4 linked regions of the Rhinolophus ferrumequinum genome follow. The protein of the gene in region 3 purifies or fractionates together with the protein of the main gene of each other region. This does not show direct contact. Links are inferred from orthologs where the notes say so. Each region holds a gene or a part of one and is shown on either strand. Other genes may lie near its edges.

What was found.
Region 1: the proteins of LIN28A (region 3) and ZCCHC3 purify together in Homo sapiens (co-immunoprecipitation; 3 studies listed by BioGRID and IntAct, with this or other methods). This does not show direct contact. The link is inferred for Rhinolophus ferrumequinum from reciprocal best matches to the Homo sapiens genes LIN28A and ZCCHC3.
Region 2: the proteins of LIN28A (region 3) and KRI1 purify together in Homo sapiens (affinity purification with mass spectrometry; 3 studies listed by BioGRID and IntAct, with this or other methods). This does not show direct contact. The link is inferred for Rhinolophus ferrumequinum from reciprocal best matches to the Homo sapiens genes LIN28A and KRI1.
Region 4: the proteins of LIN28A (region 3) and IGF2BP3 purify together in Homo sapiens (affinity purification with mass spectrometry; 4 studies listed by BioGRID and IntAct, with this or other methods). This does not show direct contact. The link is inferred for Rhinolophus ferrumequinum from reciprocal best matches to the Homo sapiens genes LIN28A and IGF2BP3.

Annotation. Positions count from the first base shown.
Region 1 is NC_046306.1:23,262,181-23,269,399, reverse strand, and holds the start of ZCCHC3 (zinc finger CCHC domain-containing protein 3), read right to left. Parts: upstream 3,013-7,219; 5' UTR 1,852-3,012; coding exon 637-1,851; 3' UTR 1-636. Other genes in the region: C23H20orf96 (uncharacterized protein C20orf96 homolog), read left to right, coding at 6,174-6,257, 6,829-6,946.
Region 2 is NC_046301.1:39,742,224-39,750,045, reverse strand, and holds the start of KRI1 (protein KRI1 homolog), read right to left. Parts: upstream 3,014-7,822; 5' UTR 2,968-3,013; coding exon 2,856-2,967; intron 2,742-2,855; coding exon 2,668-2,741; intron 1,993-2,667; coding exon 1,887-1,992; intron 1,568-1,886; coding exon 1,462-1,567; intron 1,208-1,461; coding exon 1,153-1,207; intron 1,078-1,152; coding exon 1,028-1,077; intron 756-1,027; coding exon 659-755; intron 570-658; coding exon 492-569; intron 203-491; coding exon 72-202; intron 1-71. Other genes in the region: CDKN2D (cyclin-dependent kinase 4 inhibitor D), read right to left, coding at 4,018-4,377, 5,359-5,499; AP1M2 (AP-1 complex subunit mu-2), read right to left, coding at 7,634-7,656.
Region 3 is NC_046292.1:18,088,827-18,095,748, forward strand, and holds the start of LIN28A (protein lin-28 homolog A), read left to right. Parts: upstream 1-3,905; coding exon 3,906-3,936; intron 3,937-4,400; coding exon 4,401-4,585; intron 4,586-6,922. UniProt on the Homo sapiens protein: RNA-binding protein that inhibits processing of pre-let-7 miRNAs and regulates translation of mRNAs that control developmental timing, pluripotency and metabolism.
Region 4 is NC_046303.1:17,191,675-17,199,560, forward strand, and holds the start of IGF2BP3 (insulin-like growth factor 2 mRNA-binding protein 3), read left to right. Parts: upstream 1-4,871; 5' UTR 4,872-5,220; coding exon 5,221-5,395; intron 5,396-6,807; coding exon 6,808-6,868; intron 6,869-7,886. UniProt on the Homo sapiens protein: RNA-binding factor that may recruit target transcripts to cytoplasmic protein-RNA complexes (mRNPs). This transcript 'caging' into mRNPs allows mRNA transport and transient storage.

The sequences.
Region 1 (7,219 bases), on a different chromosome or scaffold from region 3:
TCTAGATTCTATGAAAAATGGCTTCTGAGCCACTGAAAGAGCTATCACAAAGTCCATGTGTTTTAATGCCTAAGACAGGCCCCTGGCCACCATTCAGAGCTTATTGATTCAGATTACATACACTTCTAACAACACTGGTTTTACAAATTCTCAGACCACACAGATTAGAAGCAGCATATTAAAAAAGCCACAGTCAACAATGTTCTTAAGTCAACAAAACACTGATGGAGTGCTTATCATGTGTTGGGCCCCCGTACCTAGTGCTGGGGCATAAAGATGAGCAAGGCAGCCCGAGGCAGCTTAAAAAGGTGAAAACTCGAGAAGACAAGGCGTGGGGAGTAACAAATACACACACAAAAGTCCCCCAATACAGAAAACAAACAAACAAACAAAAAAAAAAACGGGAGGGGAGACACATCTCCACACTACTGTCTCGGTAGTCGTTACAGATGAAAGTCACCAATTCAGAAAAGGCTGAAATGGAGTAAACTCGGTTTAAGAAGGCAGAGAGAGATGTCTCTTGTAGGTTTAGAAAGATCTCCTTCAAACGCGATTTTAAAAAAGGTTTAAAAAAAAGTTTTGGCACTTAAGAGGGGTAAGCTGGCTCTGTGTTCACCCTGGCAGGTAGGCGGGTGTTCAGTGGCCGGCCACGCCGGTGAGCTGAGCTGCCACGGAATTGTGAACTGCTTTGGGACACTGGGCAAAGGCGTGTCCTCGCTTTCCACAGAGGTTGCACACGATGCCTTTCCGGCAGTAAGGGCTCAGGTGCCCCTCCTCACCGCACCTGAAGCACCTGTCCTGCGTGCAGCTGCCGCTCATGTGGGTCCGGGAACCACATTTAAAGCACGTCTTGGGCTGCCCCTTGTACCAGCTGTAGCCCCGCTCGGCCCCCAGAAAGAAGGCTCCAGGCAGGTGCCTGACCCCGCCCTCCCCCTGGCGCAGCTCGATCTCGCACTTGTACTCCCCGGTCCAGATCCCAAACCTGTCGGTCACTTTCACGGGTACGGCGAGCACATCGCAGTGGCGCTTGAGCCAGGTCACGATGTCCTCCACATCCACGGTCTCGTTCCGGAAGAGGATGAAGAGCGTCTTCAAGCTGGACTTGCTCCGCCCCAGCACCACAAAGTTCTCCCAGCAGTCTTCCTGCTCGCGCTTCTCCTCGTAGACGCGTAGGAACAGGGCCAGTTTCTCCGCCGAGCGGAAGCTCACGTCGAACTCCCGGCTGCCGGGAATCTGGATGACCGCGTAGATGTCGCTCGGGTCCATGCCGATGGAGCGCAGGATGAGCGCGCCCACCACGAAGTCCCGGGTCGGGCAAGCGCCCTCGTCTCCCTGGAAACAGATGCGCACGAGGAAGCGGCCCTTGCCCGGGCCGGCCGCTGGGCCCACCGACGCCACCGGTTCATCCTGGGGGGGCAGCTCTGCCTCGTCCTCGGCTGCGCCGGACCTGGCTGGGGACGCCATGGCCGCCGTCTCGGCCTTCTTTCTTTTGCTCGCCTCCGCTGCGCCCTTTTTCTTGCGGGGGTCCGCCGCCTCGCCAGCCGGGTCTCTCCGGCGGCCCTTCGGGTCCCCGCGGCCCGCGGGGGGAAAGTCACTGAGGCCCGGCGCCGCCAGGCTCGCGGGGGCGCCTAGTGCGCCGCCCGCGCCGCTGCCGCTTTCCTCCTCCCGCCGCGGCGGTCGTGACTCGCGGAACTCGCCCTTCTTCTCGGCCAAGTTCTTCACCACCTGGGCCCAGCCCATCTTCTCGCGGCCGACCTCGGCCTCCTCGGCCCGGGCTGCTGGGCGCGTGGCTGGCAGGAGCTGCGGCCGCCCCCTCTTCCTTTCCTCCTCGGCGCCGCCGCCGGTGGCCATTTTACCTCCTTCCCAGCATCCTCCACTCACTCCCGCAGCCGAAGTGCGCCCATCGCGCGCGCCCGCCCGCCAGGGCGGTGGGGTTTGGGTGGGTTTCCCCCACCCCCCCAGAAATTTGATGCTTCTCTCCCCCGCCCTGCCAAAAAATATTTACACGCAGCGCCAGGCGGCCAGAGTCGGCCGAGAACCCCCTGGTAACGGACGAGCCATGTTTCCGCCAGGGCTCGCTCCAGCCCCGCCTCCTCGGCACCGACGCGGGATGGGGGAGTTTGGAGCGCGTCCCTGTCCCTTGCGAGGCTTTGGCAGCCTTGGGCCTTGCTCTCGAGGATTTGGTATTTCGCAAGCGGTTCTCGATGATTTCATTTAAGCAGGATTACTAAAGGCCCACAGCCCAAAGGCGGGACGGAGTTGAGAAGAGCTCGCTCATTTTTCTTTTTCATACCGTTTTTGTTAAAAACAAGAACAGAACTTAGCTCTCCTTCCTCCTAAAGTGCACCACAATGCATTTGTTCCCCAACGTTGGATTATGAACATTTTCAAGCATACAGAAAGTTGAAAGAATTTTACAGTGAACATTTTCCCTTTAATTTTTTACTATTTCAACTTTTTATTATTAACATTTTACTATACCTTATCTCACCACATCTATATCCATCAGTCCTTATTGTTATTTTTTGATACATTTCTAAGGTCATTGCATTGTTTCTTAGAAAGATCTCCATGGTACTTATGATGACAATTATAATATATTGAGGGCTTAAGTGCGCCCTACTGTTCTAAGCTCTGCAAGTTTTATCACATGGGATCTTCCAAAACAATGCTGTAATTACACATTTTACAGGACGCATGGTTTTGGAGATGGTTTTAAATCATTTGGCCAAGTGGCAGAGTTAATAGGCAGCCCCACATGTAAGTGGCTTATATTTATTAAACCGCTTTGCTTCTGCCATCGTGGATCAAGGACTAGTTGTCTCAGACTCTCCAGGAAACCTCCTTAATACACAACTCCTTAATACACAGATTCCTGGCTAAAGTTAGTACTGGACAGAATCTCTATTCCTCCCTCATCTGTCTTAACTGATGCTTTGGAAGCAGTGATAAAATTTGGGTGGATTTACACAAGGTTGCCAGTTCCATTCCTCGACTCCTGCAAGGGATGGTGGGCTCTGCCTCCTGCAACTAAGATTGAACACAGCACCTTGAGCTGAGCTGCCTCCCAGATGGTTCAGTTGTTGGTTGGAGCACGGGCTCTCAACCACAAGGTTGCCGGTTCGACTCCCGCAAGGGATGGTGGGCTCTGCCCCCTGCAACTAGCAACGGCAACTGGACCTGGACCTGAGCTGTGCCCTCCACAACTAAGACTGAAAGGACAACAACTTGAAGCTGAAAGCACAACAACTTGACTTGGAAAAAAGTCCTGGAAGTGCACACTGTTCCCCAATAAAGTCCTGTGCCCATTCCCCAATAAAATCTTAAAAAAAAAAAAAAAAAGTTTGGGTTTAATACCACCTTTTGTCAGCTTTGTTTTCTTTCAGCATATCTGTGCATTTCAGGGTGCTTCAGCGACCTTTTTGACTTTAGTGAAAGAAAAGGTGGATTGTGGAGTCAGGGCAACCTTAGTTTGAATCTGACTGCTTCAAATCTCAGCCTTGTCACATGGGGGCCAATGAATTCAGTTTTCATAGCCTCAATTTGCTCATCTATAACAAAGGGATATTAATATCTACTCTCAGATGACTAATGTGGGGTTCAAAGAGATAACTTGTGTTAAAGAGCTTGGTCCACAGCGGGTTTTCTAGATAGGTTACAGAATTGTTAATTTAATGGCTCAACAATGCTATCAAGGAACAGGTTCCCTTCACTTTCCCCTCTACTCCAGGTAACTCCCCTCACAGTTCCACAATTCCGGGAATGTCACACAGATATGACAGTATCTAGCTGCAGATGAGGGAATGTTTTTCTGCAATGTCTTTTTTTTCTTTTTAAGTGTGATAAAAATCTTGCCCAAAATTCTCTGAATAGACTTCTCACCCTGTCTCCTTGGCCAGACTTTGATCACATGCCTTATGACTAAACCTGTAACTGGCAAGGGAAATGGGCCCACCAAGCCTAGCTCAGACCAGTCATGACTGCTTGAAGCTGGAACTGGGACTGGGGCTGGGGCCTGCCTCCTCTAAAGCCAGCATACCTGAACAAGATCAGGGGTGTTAGCTGGGTGGAGGGGAGAAATGGCTGTGGGGTAGGTGTCCACCAGGGTCTTCCCTATATTGATTACTACCTCCTACTTTTTAACTGTTTCCTGGTATAGAGCTCCCCTGCTGGAGTGCTGTGGTACAGTGGGCTCTGTAAATGGGGGTGCCCCACATGGTGATTTCCTCAGCCCTAGGAGCAGCCAAGAGGGTCCTCGAGTCCAAGATGGCCAGAGTCCCCAGGCTGATTACAGTCTCATCTGTTTACCTTAATGTGTAGTGCAATTTTAAAACATTTTCCTATGATTTTTAAGAGGAGGAAAAGTTGTGAGCTCTGACCTAGTATTCTTTAGTAACATTCTCCTATTGAACTTTAGGTGATTTCAAATTATTTGCTCCCTTCAAATTATATTAAACTGGAATGCACTTTTAAATGTATGCTCTATCTAGCAACATGGGGTGTGGAGAGAGACCTGGAGTCGGGCAATAGTGGGAGCAAAGACTGTAATCCAGGCGTGAGAGGAAAGCAGGGTATATGTATGTGTGGATGGTGGTAGTAAGTGGTCTGCTACTAGATGTACTCCAAAGGTATTGCTGACAGATTTGGATGTGGGATCAGAGATGAGTCAAAAGATAAATCAAGGATGACTCCAGGAAGAGTTGTCATTTTGAGTTGGGGAAAAATGTTTCTGGGGAAAGATTGCATCTTAGTTGCCTACTAGGTACCCAAGTGGAGATGGCTAACAGGCATTGGACTTAGGTGTCTAGAATTCAAGGGAGAGGCTCAAGATGTAAGTCTGGGAGGTGTCTGGGTAGAGATGGCATCTGAAGTCACAAGATTAGAAGGGAGCACATGGAGTGAAAGCAGATAGAGAAAAAGAGGGGGCCAGATCTGAGTCCTGGGGCAATCTGATAATAAAGGGAGAAGAGGATGAACCAGAAAAGGAGGTAGGAACGTGGCTTCCTGGATGTCACGTTTAGGAAGTGTGTCAAGGACGGAGTGGTCCATTGTGTCAAATACTGCAGATGGGCCAAGTAAGATGAGGACTGAGAGATGACCATGCGTTTTAGCTAAGTGGAGGCCACTGGTGGCATTGACAAGGGCAGTTTCTGTGGAGAGTGAAAGCCTAACTGAAGGGGCAGAAAGGAATGGGAAATATGAGTAGAGTAGGGAAACCTCTCTAGGAGTGTTGCTGTGAAGTGAAGCCGAAATGGGAGGGAAGCTGGATGGGAAGTAGTCACTTTTTTAAAAAGAGAAGAAATTAAAACATGTTATGCTGATGGGAGTAATGCAGAGGAGAGGATGATGGGAAAAAAGGAGAGAATTGCTGGGGCAATAGCTTAGTGAAGATGAGAGGATAGCACTCAGTGCACAATTGTAGGAATCAGTCTTAGTAGGCAGTTTATACATAGTTACAGGAGGGAGGCAAGTAGGTGGGTAAATAAATGAGGTGATGTGACCTTGTGAGTTTACTGATCCCCACGGCCGTCTTAGTGAAATAGGAAGCACAGTCATTAATTAGCCAAGAGTAAGGAGGGGGAAGGAAGTGATGTGGGTTTGATGAGAGGAGAAATATGACATAATTCTTTAGGATGTTGGGCGGGGCCAGCTGAGGGGTATTTGAAACCAAGTTGAGAAGAATGTGGAGAAAGCTACATTTTGCCCTGTGAGATTAGTCCCTCTAGGCGCTCGGTAGTCTGCGTCCGTTTCCTTGGAGACGGAGACACGAGGAAGCGTCTGGCCTCGTTAAGTTTGAGTGGCCGAGGTTACTGCGCGATCCACTCTGAGACAAGGAAGTTGGAGAAGTGGAATAAATAGGCATCCCAAGAGATCAGGGCCTCACGGACTCACGACTCTTCTTATGTTTTCCCCAATGGCACGTGTCTTTCCGAAGTAGGTAAAAGGAGCATTGCAGGGTGGCGGGGTGCGCGTGCACGCCCCCCCAAACCTCTCTGGCCGGTCCTCCCGCAGTCTCTTGACCCCGCCCTCTCTCCACCCACATCTCCCTAGCCCCGCCTCGCCCTCCTGTTCTCTGGGTACTGGCTTGGATCGTGTTTCTAGTGCATTGTGGTTTTGGGGTCTAGACCCCAGGACTGTTTCATGTTTGCTGCTTGCAGCGCCAGGGGTTGGGAATGAAGGAAGTTCTTTCCTGCCCTCACTCTTCCAGACCCAGCCACTTTGGGAGTCGCTCCACAATCCACAAGTCCCAGATTGCGGTGAGTATGGGAGGGCTAGGGCGGGGACCGGGGACTTCCTGACCCTGGGCCTGGAGTCCATCTGCCCTCCACCCCGGCAGTGGTGACCCTCCGGGGTGAGAGAGTCTGGAGACCTGAATTCCAGGCCTTGCTGTGTCACACGTTTGCTGTGGGACCCGGGGCATGCCTCTGAACTTCAGTTTTCTCACCACCTTATCAGAATGTAAGGGTATATTATGCTGTTCTCTTATTTATCTCTGATTGCAACTCTGCTTCCCTGTTGGGTCTTTTCTGCGCTTTCTGTTTCTCACAGTTCTTTGCACCTCTCACAGCCTGGATGTGCTTAGTAAGTTCTGGCTGGCTGATAAAAAGGATGATAGCCAACATTTGTGGAGCACTTGTTACATGCTTTACAAATACCTCTCAGGATCCTTGCACCAACCTATCGAGGTAGGTTTTCTAATTAGATTCACTTTACCGATGAGAAAATTGAGGCTCAGAGAAGTAAAGTCACTTGCTGAAGGCCACAAATATCTGTAAGCTGGGATCTGAACCCACCAGGCTGTGTGACTGATTGTGTCATGTTTGGTAGGATTATCTTCCATGGCAGCAGTCCAAGCAGAAAATCAAGCCATCTACTCTGCCTCCAGTCCTACAAACCAGTGGCCATAAGAAAAACAAAATGAAAACTTTGATTAGCGTCCTGCCAGGTAGGTAGAGGTACTTGGGGGCTGGTATGGGGGTTGGGGACAGGATGGAATGGATGCTCTTAGACCTTGGTGACATCATTTATATTAAGGTAAGCTAACTGCTGTAATGAACAATCCCCAGACTTCAAGTATTAATACAGAAGCTTATGTCTCATCTATGTCAAATGTGTTTATGTAATGTATTTATGTGGGTGGGGGTTGGGGAGTAGGAGTTAGTCTTTTCTACATCATCATTCAGGGATCCAGGCTCTTTTAACGTTGTGGTGCAGACAT
Region 2 (7,822 bases), on a different chromosome or scaffold from region 3:
TAAACACCTGGTACCTCTTGCTTTCTGGCTAGTATTGGCTCCAGGGCCCTGGTGGGGACATGGCTACTCACCCTTCCTCCTCTTCCTCCTCCTCCTCCTCCTCATCTCCCTCCTCCTCATAGCGTTTGTTGAGGATATAATCCCGTAGGAACTGCTCCCCTTCATCCAGTTCTGGGTTGTTCCAATATTCCTTGAGGTGAGTCTGGGGGGTGAAGCAGTGACAGGACCCACGTTATAGCCTCGGACACAGGGAAGGAAGGCAAACATGCGTACTAAGTGGATTCAAGTGACAAACTTCACAGCCAGCCTGTAAAGTAGATGGGAGGCAGTATCCCCATTTCATAGATGTAAAAACAGGCCCAGAGATGGGTGCACCCTATCTCCAGAGTATGTGTTCTTAGCTACCCTTTCAAGGGTTGGTTTCTGGAAAAAGGTTGGTTAGAGGCGGGAAAGGCACTACAGTCCTTCAACGACTACGTGTGGAAACTCACCAGCTCTCTCAGGGTCTCAAGGTTCTGAATCTCCTTTTGCCCCTTCAGCCATTCGACATAGTCAGCATGGTCCTGGGCCTAGGGGAAGGCCAGCGCTCAGGGTCTGCAGGAACCCCAGCGCCTGCTCCCTGCCACGAGCCTGGGTCTAGCAGAGCCCCAGCACTCACCTTCTCCTCCTTGGTTTTGGCACGTTTTTGCAGCAACCCAGAGCCACCTTCTCCAGCACTGTTCTCATCCTCACTGTCCTCCATGAATGCCCGGAAGCTGCTCACACAAGAGAACAAGTCTCAGGAGAGGTCGGCTGGCCCCTGCCCACTGCCCCAAGATTAACCCTGTTCACAAGCTCAGAGTACTTCTAAGACGTAGAGGGCCTTATCAAGCCCATTTAACAGATCAGGAAACTGAGGTATGGAAAGAACAAGTAACATGCCCAAGAACACAGAGCCATTAAGCAACAGAACAGGATTTGAACCCAGGCCTGTTCAACCCCAGAGCCTCAAATGCTATCCATTTGGGCACTTGCCCCGCCAGCTCACCTTTCCTTGAGCTGTTGCTGCTCCTCCACGAAACTTTTTGATGAAACCTGCTGCAGAGAGGATGCTGTGGGCCTCAGGCTCAGCCTCGGGCCCCTCAGCCCACACCCGGCCTCCACCCCACCCACCTGGAGTCTCTGATTGGAGGTCTCCCCATCTGAATTCTCCTCGTCGACATATTTGCTGTGCAAGGAAGGGTGGGGGCTTCAAAACAGACTCCCCACAGCCTGTCCATCCCAGCGGGGTGAGGATGCTTATGAGTAGCAGGTAGAAGAGCCAGTGGGGTACAGGCAGTTACCAAGGGGCCTGCTCGCTGGGGTTCCCTCAATTCTGGTGAGTCACTGGCTTCTTCCCACCCCTGTCCCTAAGCTCCCCATGTGTCTGACTGTTTTGGGAAGATGGGATAGGGGGTGGTATGTGTTAAGCCTTCTCCTCACCCTTCTTTCTCCAACATAACCTTCCTCTCGTAGTCCTTCAGGTACATGGGCCGCACCTTCTTTTGCTTCTCGGCTGCCAGCTCCTCCTCGCTCTCCGAGGACGTTGCTGCAGGGCCACCAGAAGACACCTGCCATCACTCACAACCCCCTTCCTTCCCAGGGAGAGAATCCCACTGGGCTGGGCTAGGTCAGGTAGAGGCTTAAAAGCCACCAGTTCCCTGCTATACAACAGGTATCACACCAGCTACCTCCTGGCAGTAAGTACCTGGTGGTGATCATTCAGTGAGTAACTCATGCTCTGAACAGTACCAAGCACACCTAAGACCCTCTGCTAAGCACTTTTGACATAAAATGATTCCTTATATAGTCACAACAAACGATAAGGCAATGAGGAACCTGGGCCTTGGGAAGGAGCAGCCTCAGACCTGTTCTCTGGTAGAAGGTGGCATCTTTCTGATAAATGCGGGGGTCCTTTTTCTTCAACAAGGAGAGAGTCCTGTAAAAGTCATGCTCCTGTTGGGGGTCAAATTCCTAGGGCAGAAAAAGGATCGGTGAGAGACTTCAAGGGGGGGGCAGTAAAGAACCGGGGCAGTTGAATTAAGAAGGTGTTGGAATTAGGGTGGTGGGGGGGGTATACATTAGGAGGAAGGGGGATGCCACTGGAGAAGCCAGTGTGGCTGGGTGAAAGTGGGAGAAGGGAGGGCAGGCCACACCTAAGTACAGGGTAAGAGACAGAAGTAGGTAGTGGGGCAAAGGGAGGGTACTTCCTGGGACAAGAGATTGACATGGGGAAGGTGGGCAGAGAGAGCACATAGTGAACAACAGGAGGGGCTGGGCTGCACAGTGAGGTGGGAAGATGCAGTAGATGTGGGGAGCAACCCCATGAGGCAGAGATGTACCACTTCCGGGACAGAGTAGGACACAGAAATGGTTAGATTCTTGGAAGAGTAAATGGAGGACAAAGGGGTCGCACAAAATACATCAGTATGTGCAGATGGACACTTGGCCGGGGAGGGGGACGAGGGGGATTTGGCAACCCCCTGGGGAAGGGAAGGGCGCTATCCCTCATGGGATTGGGGACGGGGTTAACCGCTCTGGCAGGAAGCAATGGAGTCGGGGGTTAGCCACCCCCTGTAGTAGGGGTCAGGATGCGGTGGGGGGCTTGAAAGCCTCCCGCACGTCCGGGAGCGGGATGAGGAAGCTCACAACGCGCTCGTCGCTGGAGTCTGACTCGGAGCTGGAGTCGTCGCCGCCGTCTCGGCCCTGGTAGCGATCTTTCACTGCGGGGCACAGACGGGAGCCCCCCTGAATCAGCCTGGGGGGATCAGATCAACACCCCCACTTCCCGACGACCTGCAGCGCCGGCGCTATGCGCGCATGCGCCCTGCACTCACGTCGCTGCAGCTCCTCGCGTTCCCGGTAGCGGCTATACCGCGCGGCGAACGCTGCGTTCACCCGCAAGGGTGACGGCCCGCGCGACTCCGGCATGGCGGCTCTGCGGCCCATTGCGCACGCGTACCGCGAGCACCGCCCCTCACAAGGAGGCAGGTCTGCTCTTGGCCCCGCCCAAACGCGAGCTTTAAAGAGGGCGGAGACTCGCGGGCAGCGCTTAACCCCACCCCTGGTTTTTCCGGGATTCCTTACGCCCCTTGACCGCAGCCCCCGCCCACGGATTACGCCTCAACGGGGAAGGCTGCTGCCACCGCCCACCCCACCCAACCCCCGGAGCTCCGGCACCCAGCTGACATCTGGGGGCCCTTTCTCCACTCGCGGTTTCCTGCCTCCCTTCCGTTCCGACAGCGCAAACCGCTGCTCCACCTAGCGCACTCCACCGTGGTGCCCTGACAATTACCACTCTCTCCCCTTCCCCGAAGCATCCATGAGCCACGACCCCCGTGCCCACCGCCCCCACAAACATCCTGGACGTGCGACTCTCCATCGCAGACTCAAAAATCAGAAGCCACCAGCGCTGTGATCATGCACAAGTCTTAATTTAATGGGTAAAAACATTAAATTATCACACACAACTTTTTTCCATAAAGCTTAATAAATAGAATCTTTTTCTTAACATTGTACAAGAGACTGGAAAACAAAATATGAACTCATGCTACCCTTTTATTCATTTGGAACTCCCCCCTCCCCCCATGCTTGAAAGCAGTGTGCACACTTGAGGTCTCTGGGTACAGCCAGCCAAAGTCGCCAGGTTCCAGGAGCCCTGGAAGCGATGACCTCACTCTGGGGCTGAAGCTTTAAACGCTCTGCCCTTGGGACTCATCTGCAGCCCCAGCAGTATGGGGCTTGAAGAAAACTGAACCGTTTAGGTGGCTGTTGACTGCTGGAGCCCTTCTCTGCCCAACACACCAAAAGGGGTGAGAAAAACAAATGAGAAATGCCCCGTAAACACACACCCCCCAGAAATCAACACCAATAAGCCACAAACTGGTGCCCCTCCACCTTTGGCAGTGGGCAGGAGGAGCAAGAAGAGAAAGTGTTTCTTTCCTCCTTTACTGACATAAAACCCAGCTGGGTCCTGTTGCTGGAGTGGGTGGCCCCAGGTCACAGCGGTGCCACCGTGTGCCGTTGCAGTATGTCCATGAGATCCTGAGCCCCTCTTCTCCGTGCCAGCTCAAGGGGTGTGAGCCCCCTTGCATCCCTATGATGAAGATCAGACTCAGCAGCTAGGAAGCTGACCACAGCTCTGTGGCCCTCTAGCACTGCCAGATGGATAGGGAGCGCCCCAGTGTCATCAGGTGCATTGACATCAGCACCATGCTCTACCAAAACCTTCAGGGTGTCGAGGAATCCAGTGCGGGCTGCATCATGGGCTGGAGTGGTGCCAGAGGCATCCTGGACATTGGGGCTGGCACCTTGCTTCAGGAGCTCCAGGGCGATGGTGGGGCTGCCAAACATCATGACCTGTGCGAGGGCAGAGTGTAGGGGGTCCTTAAGGGAGGGATTCCAGGAAAAGGGGTCACTGGAGAGAGGGGTCATTCACAAATAGGGAACAGCAGAGAAGAGGTCCTCTGGAGAATGAGGAAAGCCCAGGGAACACAAGTCCTTGAGGGCAGCTGTTTGAGACCCTAGAGAACAAGGTCTCTTAAGGAATAGGGACCCCCAAGAAACTGGTCACTCCCCTAAAGATAAAACATCCCCCTAGGGAATAGCCCCTGTAGGAATTTTCAAGGAACCTTAGAAGCTCCCCCAAGGAACCAGAGAACACCCCTCAGAGAAGGGAAATTACCAGGAAATATAAACCCCCCTCCAGGAAATTGGCCTCATAGAATGAGAACCGTTTCCCCAAAGAACTTGACAGCCCCCTCACGGGAAAGGAGAAACCCCTTCTCAAAGGGATAGCCCCTCCCATATAATCAGAATGCACCCCTGAGCACCTGACCCCACAAGAAATGGGGTTCCCTTATAAAATGACTCGCACGGAATGAGGACTACCATGCAATCTGTAACTGTTCCTCCATTGGAACCTCACATAATATACCAGAAATCTGAAAAAAGCCAGGGATGGAGATTCCTGTCACCCCCGCCCCGCAAAGAAACTGGATACCTCTCAGATAATCCCTTCTTCCATCGATGGAATCCCCCCATAGAAGCCCAAAGAAACCAGAGCCGTCCCATGAAACCGGGATCCAAAGAAGTTGAACCCTCACTCATGGAATAAGAACCTCCCCAGGGAAACCGAATCCCCGGCGCCCAGAGAACAAGGAATACTCCAGAGACAGAAAAACTTCCCCTCCCCCATCCTAACACCATCCACCACCCACCTACGAAAGGGGACCTCAGGGAGCAACGTCAGCCCAGAGATGGAGGACCGGATCCCAATTAGCCACCACTGGGGCCAGATTATGGGATCCCAGTTCTCGCTGCCCGCCGGCCTGGCCTCACCTGTAGTGCCGTCTTGCCGAAGCGGTTCAGGACGTCGGGATGCACCAGCTCGCGGTGCAGAAGGCGGCGCACCTCCTGCACGTCGCCCCGGGCCGCGGCCCCGCTCAGCAGGTCGCCGGCGCGGACCTCCTCCAGCAGCATATCGACACTGGCGGCCTGCGAAGCCCCCCGCCCCACCCCAACGCGGTCAGTACGGGACAAACCACGGATGCTGGCCCGAACAACCCTCCGGCGGCGCGCCCGGCCTGAGCCAGGGTACTGGCCCGGCTTGCCAGTCGGAGGCTCCGGTGCGACCCCTGCCCTCCAGGCGGGCTCCTCCCCTCTGTCAGCCGGTGGGTCGCGAGGGGCTGGGAGCTGGGCCCAACCCTCCGCCACCCGCAGTGCCCAACCCGGCGCCCGCCCCTTGGGGGCTGGGTCTCCCCCCAACTCACCCTCCCTCCTCCTCGACGGGCGGGGTCTCTTCTGAGCCAGTGCGGCCGATGCGGCCGCCTAGCCGACAGCCGGGAGGAGGAGCCAGCGTGCTCGAGGCCCCGCCCCCTAACGCCACGGATTTGTTTTCTTATGAACTCGCTACATAGTAGCCCAGCCGCGTTGCCCGGGGCGCGACCTTGCGGCGCCCCGCCCACACATCCAGCGTAGCCAATGGCGACTCGTCGCCGAGGAAGTTTTGCGCTTCGGTGTGGGCGGTGCCGCTCCTGATTGGTCGAGAGGCGGCGACCGGTGGACCGCCGGCAACGGCGGGGTTTTCGGTTTTTCAAACGCGCCTGGCGCGCGGGAAAGAGGGCCGGTTTAACTGACCCAGGGGAGAAAGGTCAAGGGGTATGGTAGCGCGGGCTGCTCCAGGACCTCTGCACCTCCGAGGGAAAGGGAGGCAGGACTGGGGTTGCCCAGTCCAGGGTTCCACCATTCACTCGGTGATAAGCATTTATTCTCCCTTACGAGGCGCGGAGCGTTTTTTCATTCACCCACCGTCAGCAGGAACCGTTACCGGCGCTGGGGAGCGCACATTCAAGCACCTAAATAATTTAAGATACCGTTAAACACCGTGAAGAAAATAAAACGGGAAAATGAGAGTGGGTGAAAGAAGGAATCATGTTCTGGCTCAGACTGAGCTAGCCCTGGCACAGCAAGTGTAAAGGCGAAGAGGAAAGTTCATGCTGCAGCTGCCACGTGGTTGAGCCTGGGAGGTGATTCTTACAGAGGTCTTCATTCGAACATTTACTGAACACCTACTGTGTACTAGACGCCCAACTGTTAAGCGAGCCGAGCAGCACCTGCGTCTGGGGCGTCTACGTTTAGGGCGAAAGAAGACAACAATTAAGTCCTTTCAGAGTGGTAAACGCTAAGGAGCTGATAAAACGGAGTAAGTGGTAGTCTCTTGGGAAAGGAAGGCCATTGAAATAGAGTTTAGGGAGGGCCACCCTGAGTTGGTGACATTGATTTGATACCTGAAGGTACGGGAAGAAGCCATGTGGATATCTAAGGAAAAGCATGCCAGGTGAAGGGTACTACAAATGCAAAGGCCCTGTTGTGTCCAGGAAGAGCGACGTAAAGAGAAGGTTGTGGAATGGGACTGCAGATCAGGCTTGTGGGCTGCAGGGAGGACTTGACTTTTAACAAAATGGGAACTATGGGAGGGTGTGAGCAGAGGAGCCAGGATCTGACTTAGAAGTCATAGCGCCCTCTGGCGGCTATGAGGGGAATTGACTGTGGTGGGGGAGGGAAGTCCGGAGCCAAGGGTCGGAGGTGAAGGCAGCTGGGCGAGCCCAGATGACCTATCACCAGGGCTGAGGAATAGATTTGTTGTTCACTCCCATCCCAGCAATTCAGTCCCTAGCATCCCCAGTCCCCGGCCAAGAAACATACACAGTGGCTAAATTCATCTTTTTAATGCCATTCTAAAACGTAGAGGGGTGGGCCTCTGGGCTCAGCAGCTGTGAAGGAGAAGGGGCTCCAATACCCCCTAAGACAGGTTACTGGCAAGAAGGCACTTTTGAGGGGGCCTTCAAGCCCCTCCTCTCTTTCTTCATATAAAAGTGGAAGTGGGGAGTCCGAAGGCAGAAGGAGGTAGGGAGACCATCCCTCCCAGCCTCTGGGTAAAGGACAAGGCCGGGAGGAGGCCAGGTGCTGGGAGCAGGAAGCAAGAAACTGCTAAGCCAACCAGGGCCTGCTCACATACACCCTCCCCACATCCCCTCCCTCCCTTCCTCTAAAGTGTGCAGTCAAGGACTAAGGGGAGGGAGGCCCATGTTCACGCTCCCACCTCTTCTCCCTTCTAGCTGGTACGAAGCTGATAATCTGCAAGGAAACAATGGGCAGGGCCTGATTCAGAACTGGAGAAAGGGAACAGAGGGACAGTCCCCGCCCTTCCCCAGCCCAAGTGCCCATGAGCAACCAACCCTGTGAGGATGTAACAAAATTAAGGATGGGGTCAAATATAGGAACTGTAACCACAGCAACAAGC
Region 3 (6,922 bases):
GTCTTTTTGTTTGCACATATCTTGTTCCAATGGTAAAATGAGGATAACACCAGTGATGATAGCAACATACTAGAACTGTGCAAGCAATGGGAGCTTTGGAGTCAAATATGTGAGTTCAAATTTGCCTCTGCCATGTGTTAGCTGAGCTACATTAGGCAAGCTGTACTGATTCATTGAGCTTCAGATCCCTCTCCTGCGTGGTGGCAATATTAATACTTATTACTTAGAGTTACTGACAGCCTTGAACAAGACAAAAGTGCCTGATTCTCGATAAATAATAACTGTTATTATTACCTATCAGAGTATAAACTTCACAAAGGTGGGATTTTTGTATGGTCTATTGATGTAGTCCCAACATTTAGAATAATACCTGCCACAGAGGAAGTACTCAATAAATATTTTTAAAATGTTGGATAAGTAACATTATTGCTAAGACCTCTTTCAGCTCTTCCTTTTATAAAGAGATGAATCTACACAAGAGGAACTTGGCCACAAAACAAAGTACACCTTTGTTTTGTCTAAAGAGCCTTTTTTATTCTCTTTTACCTAGATCTTATTACTCCCAGAAACCAATGCACAAGACATTTGCAATACTTAGCTCTATCAGGTCTTGTCTCCCTAACTAGACTGTAACTCTTGGAAGGCAGGGACTGTTTCTTCCATACATTTTGGGGGGTACATTTTTGGTCATCATACAATTTATACATATTACTTATCTAATTCCTCCACCAAACTTGTGAACTAGCTTAATGACTGGATTACAGTAGGTACCTAACAAGTTTTCACTGAGACAAGGATCCAAATAGTAAGATTTGGTCAGGAGTCTCCATCTCCCACAGGGAAACAACTCATTGGGAATGAGTTGTTGGGAGCCATATCTTCCTCCCTAAAGAACCCTCTGCCTCCTTGTACATTTGCAACCTTATGAGGACCTGATCCCCTCCTGAGTTTGTATTGTTAGACTCGAGAGAGGCAGCCTAGGAGAATAAGTTTTATGACTATTGTAAGAATGTTTATCGTTTCAATTAAAGCCTATTCAGAAAATGCTTCTCAGGTATCCTCTGTGAGCCAGGCACTGTACTAGGTACTGGTAAGGATGTGGGGAAAGATGCAGAAAGAAATAACACATGCATGGTCCCAGTCCTCAGGAAGCAAATGATCCAAGAGGTTCTAGATTATAGAGACAAGCAAGTGCTCAATAACTATAATAATAGCAATAATTCACATTATTAAGGTGTAACTCTATGTCAGACACGATTTTAAAAGTTTTACCTACAGAATCTACTTTTATCCTCATAATAATTCTGAGAGTAAAATATTTTCATTATCTCCACTGGACAACTGAGGCATCTAGAGATTAAAGAACTTGCCCCAAGCCGCAGAGCTGTAAATAGTAGAGCTGATAGCCAAACATGGGCAAGCTGACTTTAATGCCTGTGCTCCTATGAAAAATGATAATAATTAGGGAAATAATTTGAAAACAGATATTAGTCTCTCTTCAACTCTAGTTTTCTTTGAATCAGAAAATGTCTCCTCTTTCTTCACCCTCTATGGCCACATGTATAGTTATATCCCTTTTGCTGAAGGGGGCTTGAGATCCCTACACTGCTCTAATAGAATCATGTATTGCTGGAAATACCCTCTGTTTAGCGTTCAAGCGAATCCTTTCATTTGTTTCAAGTGTGTCAGGGTAACTGGGGGTTTGAGAAGAATCAGGTTTTTTGGGAAGGACTTGGAGGTGGGAACTCAAGAAGACATTGTCAAAGCTGGGAGCTGGGTCCAGGGGAGCGTGCCTTTATTCAGCACCGTGGACAGAGCTCCCAGAGTCCTCAGGACCCTGGACAGAGAAGCTGGTCAAGCCTGCCGGAGGGAACAAATCTCACTTGAGAGCAGCTCAAGCGAAACCAGAGCGCTAAACATCCTTTTCCCTCGCTTCTTCAGCTAGACCTCAGTCACTTGAATTCAGTCATTCCTGAATCTTCGGGACAGAGGTACAGGGAGTGAATATATTTTTAAGGGCGCTAATAACGGGAGGGTGATAAGACTCTTAGGTGGGGAGGATTATACACATTTAAATGGCTTTGGTGGTTGTTCTCGGGGAACTCTTGCAAAACCTAAATTAGGGTCCTCAGTTGGGAGTAGTGATTACTAATGATATTTGTTAATGATAAGTATTTTTTAGGCTGAGTGGCAAAGGGCTACAGTTCTTATTATCACCCATCGCCCGTCCCTCGTCCCTTACACTCAAGTTTCAGTCTCCTGGAGAGCACTACATGTAGGAAAGAGAATCTCCACAGCCCCTTGCTCTCCTCACCATCTTCCCCTTCCCTACCCCCACTCCTCTCCTTTCTCTTTCTCAAATACACACGTAAGCGCGCAGAGTGAAAAGCACGAGACGTTCTGCACACTTGATGGAGAAGATTGAATTCAGAGCAAGCAGATGCCCCCGAAAGCAGGCTCTGTCCCTTTAAATGGGTTGTAACAGTGGGGGAGGGGAACTGGCCGGAGCTGGCATTGTCCAGTTTGAACTGAGCACCGGAAGTGAAGGGGCAGGGCCAGGGCCGTGCACTGAGCCCCGGGCCATTGTCCATCTCCGACCAGGGCACTAGCCACCCCCCTGACCAACACTCTTTATCTCCTAGAAGGGAAGGCTGCCTCAAAATGAGGAGATCCCCGACTCCAGTTCTCTCACCAACCCCACTGCGGGGAGAGAAGCACACTTTAGGATGGGACTCTGAAACTGAGGGTCTGGGAACCTGAGTGTCTGGAGCACTGAAGGAAATGCCTGGACCCACCTACCCACCTAGCCCCTCTCCCTGAAACGGATAGGGACAGGATGGGGATAAGGGCAGGATAAAGACAGCTGGTGGAGAGAGGAACACACGTCAAGCCTCTTTGGGTTCCTCCTGCTCTCACAGAAAGCTCCACATGGGGTCAATTTTAGACACAGATTTGGAAGGAAAGAAGGAAGGCTTCTTTACACAGTCAATTAGGAGCGCTTTGAGAGGTCCAGAAAAACTCAGTCGGTGACTCAGGGAGGCAGAGACATTCAGTTAGAGATAGACTTTGAGAGACAACGCCTTGGTCTGGACTGGAGATCAGCCCTGTCGGGTCTCCAGCCTCCCCCCTGCTTCCCATCGCAGGCTTCCTAGTGTCCTGAACTCCAGGTCTATCTAAGCACACGAGGGTGGGGGGTGAGAGCGGGTCAGCGCGGAGCAGCCGGGTCAGCTCCGAGGCCTGTAGGGGAAGGGAGGGGGAGGGGCGCTCAAGAGCTGGGGGAGGGGGAGGGATCATCCATTTCTCCCTTGACAGGTGGTTTGTGTCTCTGATTGGCCAGCGCTGCCAGGCTCACACCTCCCTCCCCCAACTCTCTGGAATGTATAATTATCTGCGCGGGGGGTGGGGGTGGTGTGTGAGTGTGTGTGGGAGCAGTCACATGGTTTTAAAACTAACCCCCTACAAGCCCCCCACCTGTATGCTGCTTTGGGGACCCCCAATGAGTCCTTAAAGTGCAGGATCCCAAATCCAGGGGTACTCAAGACTTCTAGGGCTGACGGGCTCCATCTCCAGTTGTGCTCGTGGGGAGGGGGTGTCAAACCTCAAGGTTCTGAGAAGGGACACCCCAGAGGTGTCAGAGACTGCAGTAGTGGGGGAGGGCAGGAGCTGGAGCCGGAGGGGAAGGGAGGGGAAAGAAGAGGGAGGCGAGGGGAGGGGGCTGCCCGCGGGGGGTTGGGTCATTGTCTTTTAGAATTTGGGAGCCTTTGAAAAGCCGTGGGCCCTCCCACCGCTATTGTGCTGGGGAAGATGTAGCAGCCTCTTCTCCGAGCCACCCCTTTGCCTCCCGACTTCTCTGGGGCCAGCAGCCACCCGACCTGGGGCCCGGGCCGCGGGCTTAGCCGACTACCATGGGCTCTGTGTCAAACCAGCAGTTTGCAGGTTCGAGCTCGGGACTTATTGGGGACACCCTAAGCTGCAGGGTCGCCCAGGAGCCACATAAATGGGAGGTGGGAAAGTGTCCCCCAGGCTGGCCGAAGGCCCCCAAGTCTGCGGCCTCCTGCTTCAGGGGGCCATCTGTGGAGTAAAGAACCCTGGTGTCCCAGCGGCGTGCACACCAAGGCTACGAGGGCTGGGGGAGAGAAGAGGAGGGGCCTGTCCGGCGGTCTGTCCCCGGGCAACGTGTTGTGGGAAGAGGAGCAAAACTTTCGGGGCACCACTGGCCTCTCAGTGTAAGCTTGGGGAGCGCGGGAGGCAGCCGGGACAGGTCTTTTAATCGCCGGCTGCTTAGTAGTTGCAGCCTCTTGGGTGTTCAGCCGCGGGCTGGACACTCGGGTCTCCCTGCCGGGCCTCAGAGGGTCCTCCAATTCCGTGGCCCCCCAGCTGAGCGCCCTCCCAATCTCCAGGTGGCTGCGCCAAGGCGCCGGAAGAGGCGCCGGAGGACGCGGCCCGGGCGGCAGAGGAGCCGCAGCTGCTACACGGTGCCGGCATCTGCAAGTGGTTCAACGTGCGCATGGGGTTCGGCTTCCTGTCCATGACCGCCCGCGCCGGGGTCGCACTCGATCCTCCGGTGGATGTCTTTGTGCACCAGGTGAGATCGATTCTGGTAACTTTGGCGGGGAAGGGGGTGTTGGCGCGCGCATCCAAGGGTGGGCGGACGGACTCGGCTATTGGATTGAGGGAGATCGAGAGCCCTCATTGTGCGTTCCCATCTTTGTGGTGGCACCCCAGTTCTGGTCCCCGTTAACTCCACGGGGAGGAGAGTGTGGGGCAGAGCCGCTGATCAGCACCTCCCACCCGCTTCGGGGAACCCCTCTGACTTACCACGTGTCTGTTACCTTTTTCCCCTATGAAAGGGGGCAGGGGCAGGGAGGTGACCCCATGTGGCAGAAACTAAGGTTGTATTGTGCTTGCCGCTGGGGGGAGGGCGAGCAGGCCGGCCAGGGAAGCACATGCTGGGCCATAGCAGGGCCCTGAGCGCCCAGCGCCTTTCTGTAACATGTGAATGGAGCTGGGGGGCGGGAGAGGGAAGGAAAACTCTCTGGGATCCAACGAGGGTAAAGCTGAGGTCAGCCGGGTCTCCTCACCCAGGTGGTCACCCGAAACTCAAAACTCAAGCCCTGGGGCCTATGTGGGTTTGGCAGATCCTTGAAGGATCTATTTGGGGGCTTGAAATTCCTCCAAGGTACGGATCTCAGGCACTCAGTTGGCTGGGCTTCTGCTGTCCAGTTCCTACCAGGAAGGAAAACCTAAGGAGCCCAGGCCTTAGATTCCTGGGCCAGGCTGGGAACGAGTTAGGTGGCAACACCAAGTTCTCAGTTAAAGCAAGGCAGCACAGTGGGGGTGAAATTCAGTGTCGCAGGGCAGGGGGTGGAGGGAGGTTAGCCTCTGGACCTACTCTCCTCAGCTTGCCATTTATGGCCCCAGACAGCCATTCATTGCGGTCCTAACATTCCGGGCCTCAAACAAGGAGCCAGAAGACTTCAGGTTTCCCTGGCCTCCCCTTACCTCTCACCCCTTCCTGAATGTCTTGAAAGCATTCCGGTGGTCCTGGGACACCAGCCACCCATAACAACCACGTAAAGGAAGTCACTGCCTGTGTTTCCTCCACTGTTGGAGTTTTAGGGTTGGGCCTGGGAAGAAAATTACTAATCCCAGGCCGAGTAGGTTGGCACCCAGGCCGGGCAGGGAGGGGTTACTTCGGGAGGTTGGCTTTAGGATCCATGGGGGAGGGGAAAGGAGGATGTGGGGATTAAGGGTTGGAGCCTGAGGGATGGTATTCTGGAGGGGGAGGGGTAGTGAAGGGAGATGCTGGGTGGACTGGCTGGGGGCCCTCAGTGAGGACCTAGAGTGGGGGAAACCAGGGAGATAGATTGTGCAAGAAGATGGCGAACCCCACAGTTAGTGTTGGGGACTTGGTGTCACTGAGCTTCTTGAACATCTGCCAGGAGGGCCTGCAGCAGGAGGATGCTCACCTACCTACCCCACTAGTTGCACCCGGTCTCACCCCCTCCATCAACTAGTTCTGGCTGGTGACTTTGCCCCCTTTCCTCTCTCATTTACATATGTGAATGATAACCCACAGGAAGTAATTCTGGGAGAAAGAAGGGAATTGGCCTCTTTAGATCTATTAAATCACTTTATTACAGGAACCAGCTTTGAATGGCCCTCCTCAGCAGGGTGGCCAGCTCCCCCTTTCTCCCATTTATTTGATCACAGAGATTAAAATCTCTCCTTGTCTGGAGATGGACTGGACAGCTTCCCCAACTTTGGGAGATTTGGAATAAGTGAGACCCAACATTTTCTTTCCTCCATTCCTAAGGTTGCTAAATAGGGAGGGGCTGAGGGGAAGGAAGCTTCTCATCACCTGGGGTTCCTTGGTGATGTGGGGAAGGAAGAAACTTGAACCTCAAGATTTCTTTAAGCTGGTCTAATAATCAAATAGACATTAGATTAGCAAGAGAGAAAAACCAAATTTAATACATACATATGTATGGGAACTCCGCATACATGAGACAGATACCTCACACGCACAGGAGGTTCAGAGATAGAAGGGAACAGGAGTATATAAGACATCCTTAGCTAGGGATGAGGTAAGGTACTTTGGGGGCTTCAGAGGGTCATTGCAGGAATATAAGAGCAGATGTTTAGTAAATGGAAGATTGTCCTGCTCTATAGGTAGATTAAAAGAAGTTATCTCTGATAATCTCTTATTATAAGCCAGGCCCCTACTTCAAGTTCTTCTAGGTAGTTAAGGGAGGGGCAGATGTCTCTTTTGAGGCCCCAGCTAAACTTGCCTTTATCTATATGAAACAATCCACGTACCACAGAACCACATCTTGGGGTGGCTAGTTCTGAACCCCCACAGTGATAACCAAATCCCAATAGCAAGTTGATCTGTGCCTCACTGTACTTAACCTTAGGATTA
Region 4 (7,886 bases), on a different chromosome or scaffold from region 3:
CGTTGCAAAGACACCACTACCTGGAACACACCACTGTAGCTGTTAGCTTTTTCAGTTAGTGAAATTAAATATGATTATTCGTTTGTTTTGTGCTTCCCTAAGCCAAACTTGTATTTATTTTTTCTCACCGTCTCCACCAAATGTCCGTAAAATTAGAACATTTCAGCTACAGAAATCGCTAATCCTTCAAGGTCGGTCTCAGCTTCTTTGGTCTTAGGACAGCTTCAACGAAAATATTGGTCTCGGCATAGCTGATATTACCCGGAGTTTTTCGTTTGCTTTTTTTTGGAGGGGTTGTTTGGTTTTGCTTGTAACAATCCCGTGGACCACAAAGGGGGTTAGAAAAGGAGGGGGCTGAAAGAGTGGATTTCTCTAGAAGCCCAGGAAAATTCAGGCATCTAGAGACGTATTTTGCTGTTGTAATTTAAAAAGACGTATACATTCTAAGATGTTGGAAACGAAAGAAACGGTGTGACTTCAGCTACTTAGCATGGCGCAAACCCACGACCTCCGGGCGCTGGACGTTGGGGGAAGGGAAGGGAGTCTGCGGGCACCATGCGGTCAGCCCAAGGGGCGGGCTCCACACGCACACGCAGAACTATTTTCTACTCTTCCTTAGTCATCTCCCCTTTTCCTCTTTGGGGGTTGGGGGGCTCACAGTTAAAGGGCAGGAAAAATGAAAGCACTAAGAGGGGAACCCAACCTCAACCCTAAGCAACAACAGAACCAATGAGAGGGAGTAAAGGGTTATTTTCGCGCCACAAAAGATGGAAATCCAGGGGTGGCTAGCGGGCCAATGAATGGAAACCAGCAAACGGCTCCGGCGGAGGCAGCCGACGATGATAGGCTCCCTCCATCCACCAATCGGGTGAGAGTCGAAGACCCCCGCCCCCTCCCCAGCTAGGGGCGGTGTCTCTCTCCACGCCGGTTGCTCAACTTGGTTTCTGCGAATCGGCCCCCGTGCTGCACAAAACCCCGCCCCGGGGCCGCGTTTGCGCGCCCTGGGCGCCTGTCTCACTGTCCCGCCCCGCCCCGGGCAGAGGCGCTGGGTTCAGCGAGGGCTTCTTGCGGTCTTTTTCCTTGGGTACCAAACATTTCCCAGCGCAAGGGAGCCCCTCGCAAAGTCGAAACAGGCTGGGAGCCCGGGAGGTCTGCTAATCGCACGCTGCTTGATTCGCCCCCGCGGGCCACGGAGGAGGACCTCAGGTGGCGTCATACAGTGAGGGTAAAGATAGAGGCGCCCCCCGACCCCCAAGTCTAACCAGTCCACGCAGCTCCACGCGGACGGACAGAACCCGAAGCGGAGCCAGAAGGCGCCTGTCCCGCGGCAGAGCCAGGGCCGTGCAGTGTTCGAGGGCCTCCGAGGCTAGCCGGCGGCCGACGAAGGATCTTCCCCAGTGTGCGCTGCAAGGATCCCGCCCTCTTTCTCCCGGCAGAGCCAGGAGGAAAGGAAACAACCCCATCTTCTCATCTTCTGGGGCACCATTTTTTATTTTAAACAAAAATAACTGAAGGCAGGTTCAGAAGAGGGCAGAGCCAGGTTACTACTTATCACGCATCAGGTTTAAACATCAGAGCCCAGGAGAGCTGGTTGAAGGAGCAAGAATGATGTTAAAAATACGTCGTAGGAGGCCCAGGCGACGCGGCGAGCATTGCGTGCTCACCCGAGGACTTCGTCTCCCGCTTGTCCCCGAGGCAGCGGGAGTTAGGGGTAACAACGAGAATTTCCTTTCCCCCTCCTTTACCTGCTCAGCCTTCGGTCATTACCTGTGGATACCGCAACGGTAACCGACCTTCTAAAGAGCTTTTTTCTCCTTTAATATTACACTCACCCATAAACATTTTTATTGCCCTTCGGTCAGCAGATGAGGAGGTGCAGCTGTCCAAAGAGTAAACAGGCTGCAGTTGGAAAGACTCAGTCGCATCAGAGCACATACAATGGGTGGGAGTCCTTCGTGAAGTTAACATTAATTAGGAGCTGCAACTGTTTCAGGAAGAACTTGGAGTAGCCCATATACATAGTTAATTTCTTGTGGGAGATTCATTAAAAGATTGCGAGTTAGATTGACTTTATATTCATTTTTGAAAATCCACCAAAGTTATTTTTGCAGTTGAAATGCCAATAAAAAACAATTACCCATGCTCTTTTTACTCAGCCATTTAGTGTATACTTATCTCTCAGTGCTTGGAAGAATCGAAGTGGACTGTGTCCACCTCCCTTTTTGATGTGTGAGCTTATATAACTCGTGTATGTTTTTAAGGTCCTAGACGGAGTATCCAGTTTGTTACAATAATACACAGATTAAGTTCACAAGAGTCCTAGGAACATATTTCATCAAAACAGCACACACTTGTTTTAAATTCCAGCTGTTAGATTTGTTTGATAGTGACAGACAAGCATGGGCTAGTATTTATGGAAAATAAACAATTTATCCCATGCTTTGGAAGTAGATATTTCCTTTGGTCTCAGTTTTAATAGCAGCAAATTCAGTCAGCAATCCAGAAGGTACCATTCAACTGACTTTGGAAACAAGCTAAACATACAAAATTTGTTTTTATGAAAATCACTAAATGCTAAATTATCAGAAGACTCGTTTATAACATTTAAAGAAGTATTTAGAAAAACACAAATGAATGAAAAGCATATTTTTCCAAATAGTTTTTGAGCGCATGCAACAGGTCCATGAAAAATAAATTCACAATTTTTGATATTTTGAATACCACAGAAGTCATAAATACATATTTTTTTCTTTTTTAGAACCAAAGTTCTCTTTTTAAAAACATCAAAAGGAAACAAGCTCCTTTTAAAAGTTAAACCTAGCCATAAACTTAAATTTTCACCAAAATGTTCAAGATAGAGCTCACAAAACAATTCTAAACATTATACAAAAACACATTTGTCCTCTTTATCTGATAAAGTAAAAACATTTTCCTAAGTTAAACGTGAATGAAAATACTGTGAAAGTGAATTTACGTTTAAAAAGTTGGATTTGCTTGCCAGGAAAAAAACCTAGTAGAAAGAACAGTTGCATTTAAAATGGATGATCTGACACCTTCCGGTTCCTTAACACAAAATTACAAAATAAGTTTCTCTTAAAAGAAAAAAAACGTAAATACTATTTATATCATGTAATAATTCCCACATACTTAAAAAATCACCAATCATCTTTTTATTGGAAAATATACTTTTAAATGCCATGTACGGGTTTGACAAAGGGAAATTAACTATCAATTGTCATAATTACTTCAGCTATTTCAGTGTAAATCACAATAGTGTCTATTACACAACACATTTTCCTACTAGTAAGAGTACGAAGTGATTAAATAGTTTTGTATGTAATTCTATGCTATATAGAATTCCATTCACTTATTTAAAATAAGCATTTTGTTTTTCATGGAATACCTGTTAAAAATATACCACAAGTATCTGGTACAAGTGAAGCCTTTGAGTGGAGTAGACAATCATTAAACGACATTTGGAGATTTCCAGCACTGCGTTCATTTCCGTATTCCTCGTCTCCAGTCCACATTTTGTTGCCCAGGAAGGCTCCACCGGGCCCAGACCCTCCCCCTACACCCAGCATTGTACTCGTTACGTACAAGGGAAATTCTGAATGGTTCTCATGGCCAAATGCGGGCAGAAAAGAGGCAGAAAGAGACTCGAATAATTTTTCAAGTGCGAATAACACCTAGGGGTAACGCAGAGCGGTCTCTCTGTTTTAAGAGTCCCAAGTTCTCCAACTAAAATTATTTAAATGAAAGTACGAGCCTACCCCACTCCTCCTCCTCTGGAAACTACAGGAAGATATGGTTTCCGTTTAAATACCGACTTTTCCCACTCTGTCTTCTCTGCTCCGGCCTCCGGGGCCCCGGGACGCCCCTATCCCCACGCCAGAAACCGCCACCCTTGCGCTCCCCTCCCCCACTGTTGGCCAAGCCCGCCCCCGGCCTCATTTATCCCAGAGCCTTTTCTGAATCGCGCAACCAATGGCAATCGCGAAGCCGAGAGCCACTGCGAGCGCAGGCGGAGGCGGAGGAGGTGTCGCCCAGACACCCGCCCAGGACGCCGCGGGCTCCCATCCCCCACCGCCCAGGCTTGGGGGCCCCCCCCCCTTCCCCGGTGCCCCGGCCCGCGAAGGGTGCAGGGGTGGGGCGCCCCTGCCCGCCTCTCCCGCCCCTATCCACCCTACCCCCTCGCCGCGTTTCCGCCCCTGCCAGCTCTGGAAACGTGCTCGCGGCTTTGCCGAGGTTACACTTCTAATGTCATCCAAGCCACAAGGCGAGTTCGGAATTGTGACTCTTTGCTTTTGTTAATTACCTATTTTAAGAAATCGAATATTTAAAACTCCGGTAACTAGAGCTGAGGAATTGCCTAGTTAGTACCCACACCCCATCTCATTTAAAAAGGAAAAAAATCGATATTCCAACCCTACTCCCCTCCCCCTCAGGATCCGCCCCGACCGGATAACCCTTTCTAAACTCCGTGGTGACAATCAGCTCAAGCAGCCGCGCTCCCCTCGCTCGCCGGCTGCGGCTCCTTTAGCGTTTCCCCGGCTGCCTCCTCCCCTTTTCAGGGTCCCTCGCCCAATCTCCTTTCCCCTCCCCCTCTTCCTCTCGCTCGCTTTTTTTCCCCCGAAACCCACTCTAATTGAGGCGCTGGGATTCCTCACGTGAGACGTTGATTTGTAGTTTGAACACGTGGCTCATTCAAAAAGCCGGACACTCGGAGCGGATTTTTTCCGCCTCCTGCGCCTTCCTCCAACCCGATTCCCCTCCCTCCTGCCAGTCACTCTTGTGGGTTTTTTATGGGGAGGCGGCGCCTGCCCTCACGTAGTGTGATATTTTCACAGTCCTCCGGCCGAAGCTAAAGGGGTTGGGGAGGAAGAGACAAAAAGTAGTTTTCCCCCTCCTCCTTCTCTTCTCCTCCTTTTTCTCGCTAAGCCCGCCTCCTCCTCCGAGTTAGGAAGACTCGTTGATGCGTTTGGGTTCTAGCAAGGCTTTTCAATTTCTCTCTCTTTTTTTTAATACCTAGAAAAGGGAAAACAAGACTCCTCGGATCTGATTTTTCTGTCCTCGTTCTTATCCTTGGTTCTTACTGTGTTTGTGTTTTTAAACGGCGAGAAGACGAAGGGAACAAAACCCTCCGGGTCCATCCATCCCTGTGGGTGGTTTTAATTTTTCTTTTTTTCTCCTAATTCTTTTAAACAACCACTCTTCACAATGAACAAACTGTATATCGGAAACCTCAGCGAGAACGCCGTCCCCTCGGACCTGGAAAGTATCTTCAAGGACGCCAAGATCCCAGTGTCTGGCCCCTTCCTGGTGAAGACTGGCTACGCGTTCGTGGACTGTCCGGACGAGAGCTGGGCCCTCAAGGCCATCGAGGCGCTTTCAGGTGGGCCCCGGCCTGGCCCCGCCGGGCGCCTGCCCCAGCCCTGCGCCTCCGCCTGCCCGGGCCTGCCGGGGTTGAGGGCCCGGAGCCAGGCCCGCGGCTGCCGCCGGCTTGTTCACGCAGGGCTCCGGGCGAAGGCGCGGAGAGGGGCCGAGGCCCCGGCGCCACACGCGTGGGCTCCGGGGTGCTTCCTCAGCTGGGCTCCCACCCGGGCCCCCGTCGCTCCCCTCCCCCCGCCGGGGGTTTGCGGGCGCAGGGCGGACGCGCTGTCAAGAAAGCTCGGGCGCGGGCTCGGAGGAGGAGCGGGGGACCGTGGCGGGGCCCGGGGAGCGGCGCCAGCCGGCGCGGGACCCTCAGCGCTCGCCCCGCGCCCCGCCCGGGCCCAGGCGCGTGCTCGGGCTCCGGCACGCCGGGCCTCGGGGGCCGGCCGCGAACGCCTGCCTCTCCCTCCCTCCTTCCTCCCTCGCTCTGCTGCTTACTTATGGCATTGGAGTCGCTGCGCCGCTCCCGCCCCAGACCCCGGCAGTGGGGGAACGCGGAGTGGCCTCGACCCGGCTGCGGAGTGAGGCCCGCCGCGGGCTGGTGCTTCGCACCGGAGGCCCCGCGCTGCCTCTCCACACTGTGGGAGGCGGGTGAGTGCGACCTGGGTTCCATGCTCCGCCGTCCACGAGACAGGGGCAGGTGGACAGGGGCGGCCTGTGGTCGCTAGGTAGGGACCCGCTGTTCTCCGCACCCGGCCACCGGCTGCGGCCGCCGGGGGTTTCGGGACGCGATCTGCGAGGGCGGGGGACGGTGGGTAGGGGGGCAGCGGGCCCGGCCGCCCCCAGGGGAAGGCTGTGCTGGGGTCCCTCTGGGATCCCGGAGGCTTTCGGTGTGGTGGGCGCCGCGCTGTCCTTCGTGCGTTGTCCATTGGATACCGAAATGCACCTCCGGGCGTTCGCTCCTTCTGCACCCTCTCTACTGTCCTCGAGCCTTTTCCTCCGCTCCCTGTTCCCGGAGGGCCCGGGCGCCCCCTCCTGAAGAGAGCCAACACAGCCCCCTCTCCTAAGTTTGTCTTGTGTGTGTGTCCAGGGAGGTGGGCGGAGGGGCCGCGTCCATCCTGCGACTGTCGTGGGGTTGGGTGACCCCCCTCTGGTGGGCGGGGGAGCTCTGCCAGTGGGTAGACTGTGACTGAAGTAGCGGGGCCGCCAATCGACTCCCCTCCTCACCCATCTGTAAGTTACACACACAGCCGGGAGGGGGTCAGCTTCCCACCCGCGCGGTGCCGGGCTTCTCTCCCGGTCTTGAGTCGCGTCCGGATTCCGTTTGGGGGTCTCAGGAGGCCACTTGTGTCGCCGCTCAGAATGTGCAGGTCCTTTGGGCGCGGAGAGCCGCTAAACCCGGCCAACTGTCTTCCTCCTCTTGTGTGTCCGCAGGTAAAGTGGAACTGCACGGGAAACTCTTAGAAGTTGAGCATTCGGTCCCTAAAAGGCAAAGGTGAGCTCATTTATTCTGTTCTCGCCGATTCTGTTCTCATTCCAGTATTGGGAGGAAAGACTATCAACACAGCTGAAAACAACTTTTCCTCTTGTACTTATTGGGCGGCTGTATGGCGTGGCGTTTCTCGACTTTTTCTCTTGTATTTAAGTGTATGGCAGGTGTGTTTGCGTGGGTAATGCTGCAAAGGAAGAGAGGGCTTATGTGTGGCCTCTGCCACTGGAGTAGTGTTATTGGACTAAGTCTCTCGAGGAAGCTCTCCCATCTCAGTATTCTCTGGTAGAGGAGGGCAAGTTGCTTCATCAGGAAATCAGTCGGAGGGCAGTTTTTGGGAATCTGTAACTCTTGGGAAGCAATGGGTGACCCCTCCCCCACCACACCTATAAGTACAGGGTAGGCGAAAGCAGCTGTGGACACACACGAGTGTGTCCTGCCTTTCTTTCTCTGTCCTAAGCTGGCGGCGACCAGCCTGAGAGGCCAGCCCCAAGTCTGAGGGGAGAGGGAGTGCCTTTACCCTGTTAGCTGGCCAGCTGGGATTGGAACACGTGAGTGAACCTCTGGCCTTCTTCTGCCCAGAAGCGCCTTGCACGCACTCCGGAGGCAGACAGGTTTCTGCAAACCGGTCTTTGTCTCCCGCTTCTCTCCCCCATCCTTAAAAAAAATATTTTTGCTTACGAATTACCACCAAGAGATCGTGGAGACTAAAGATTTGTGCTACTTCAGCAAAGGGATTGCACTTTGCAGAGAGCATGTGTCGTGTGTCATTTTATAGAATGTTTGGAGGCTGTGTTTTAACCTCTAGAGTAATTGGGAGAAATGGCTCTTTTCTCAAGAGCAGGCCAGATCCCTGCTCTGTAACTCTAATTGGAAAGGTGCTGCACCCTCCCAGTGGTGCTAGGGCTGGCCTATGCCTTTCTGGGTTTCACAAGGTGGGGTTAAGGTTCCTGCCCTTTCCCTTCCCATCTCCCCACTCCTAACCTGGGCCAAACAATAACGGGGAAGTTAATTTAAACTAGGA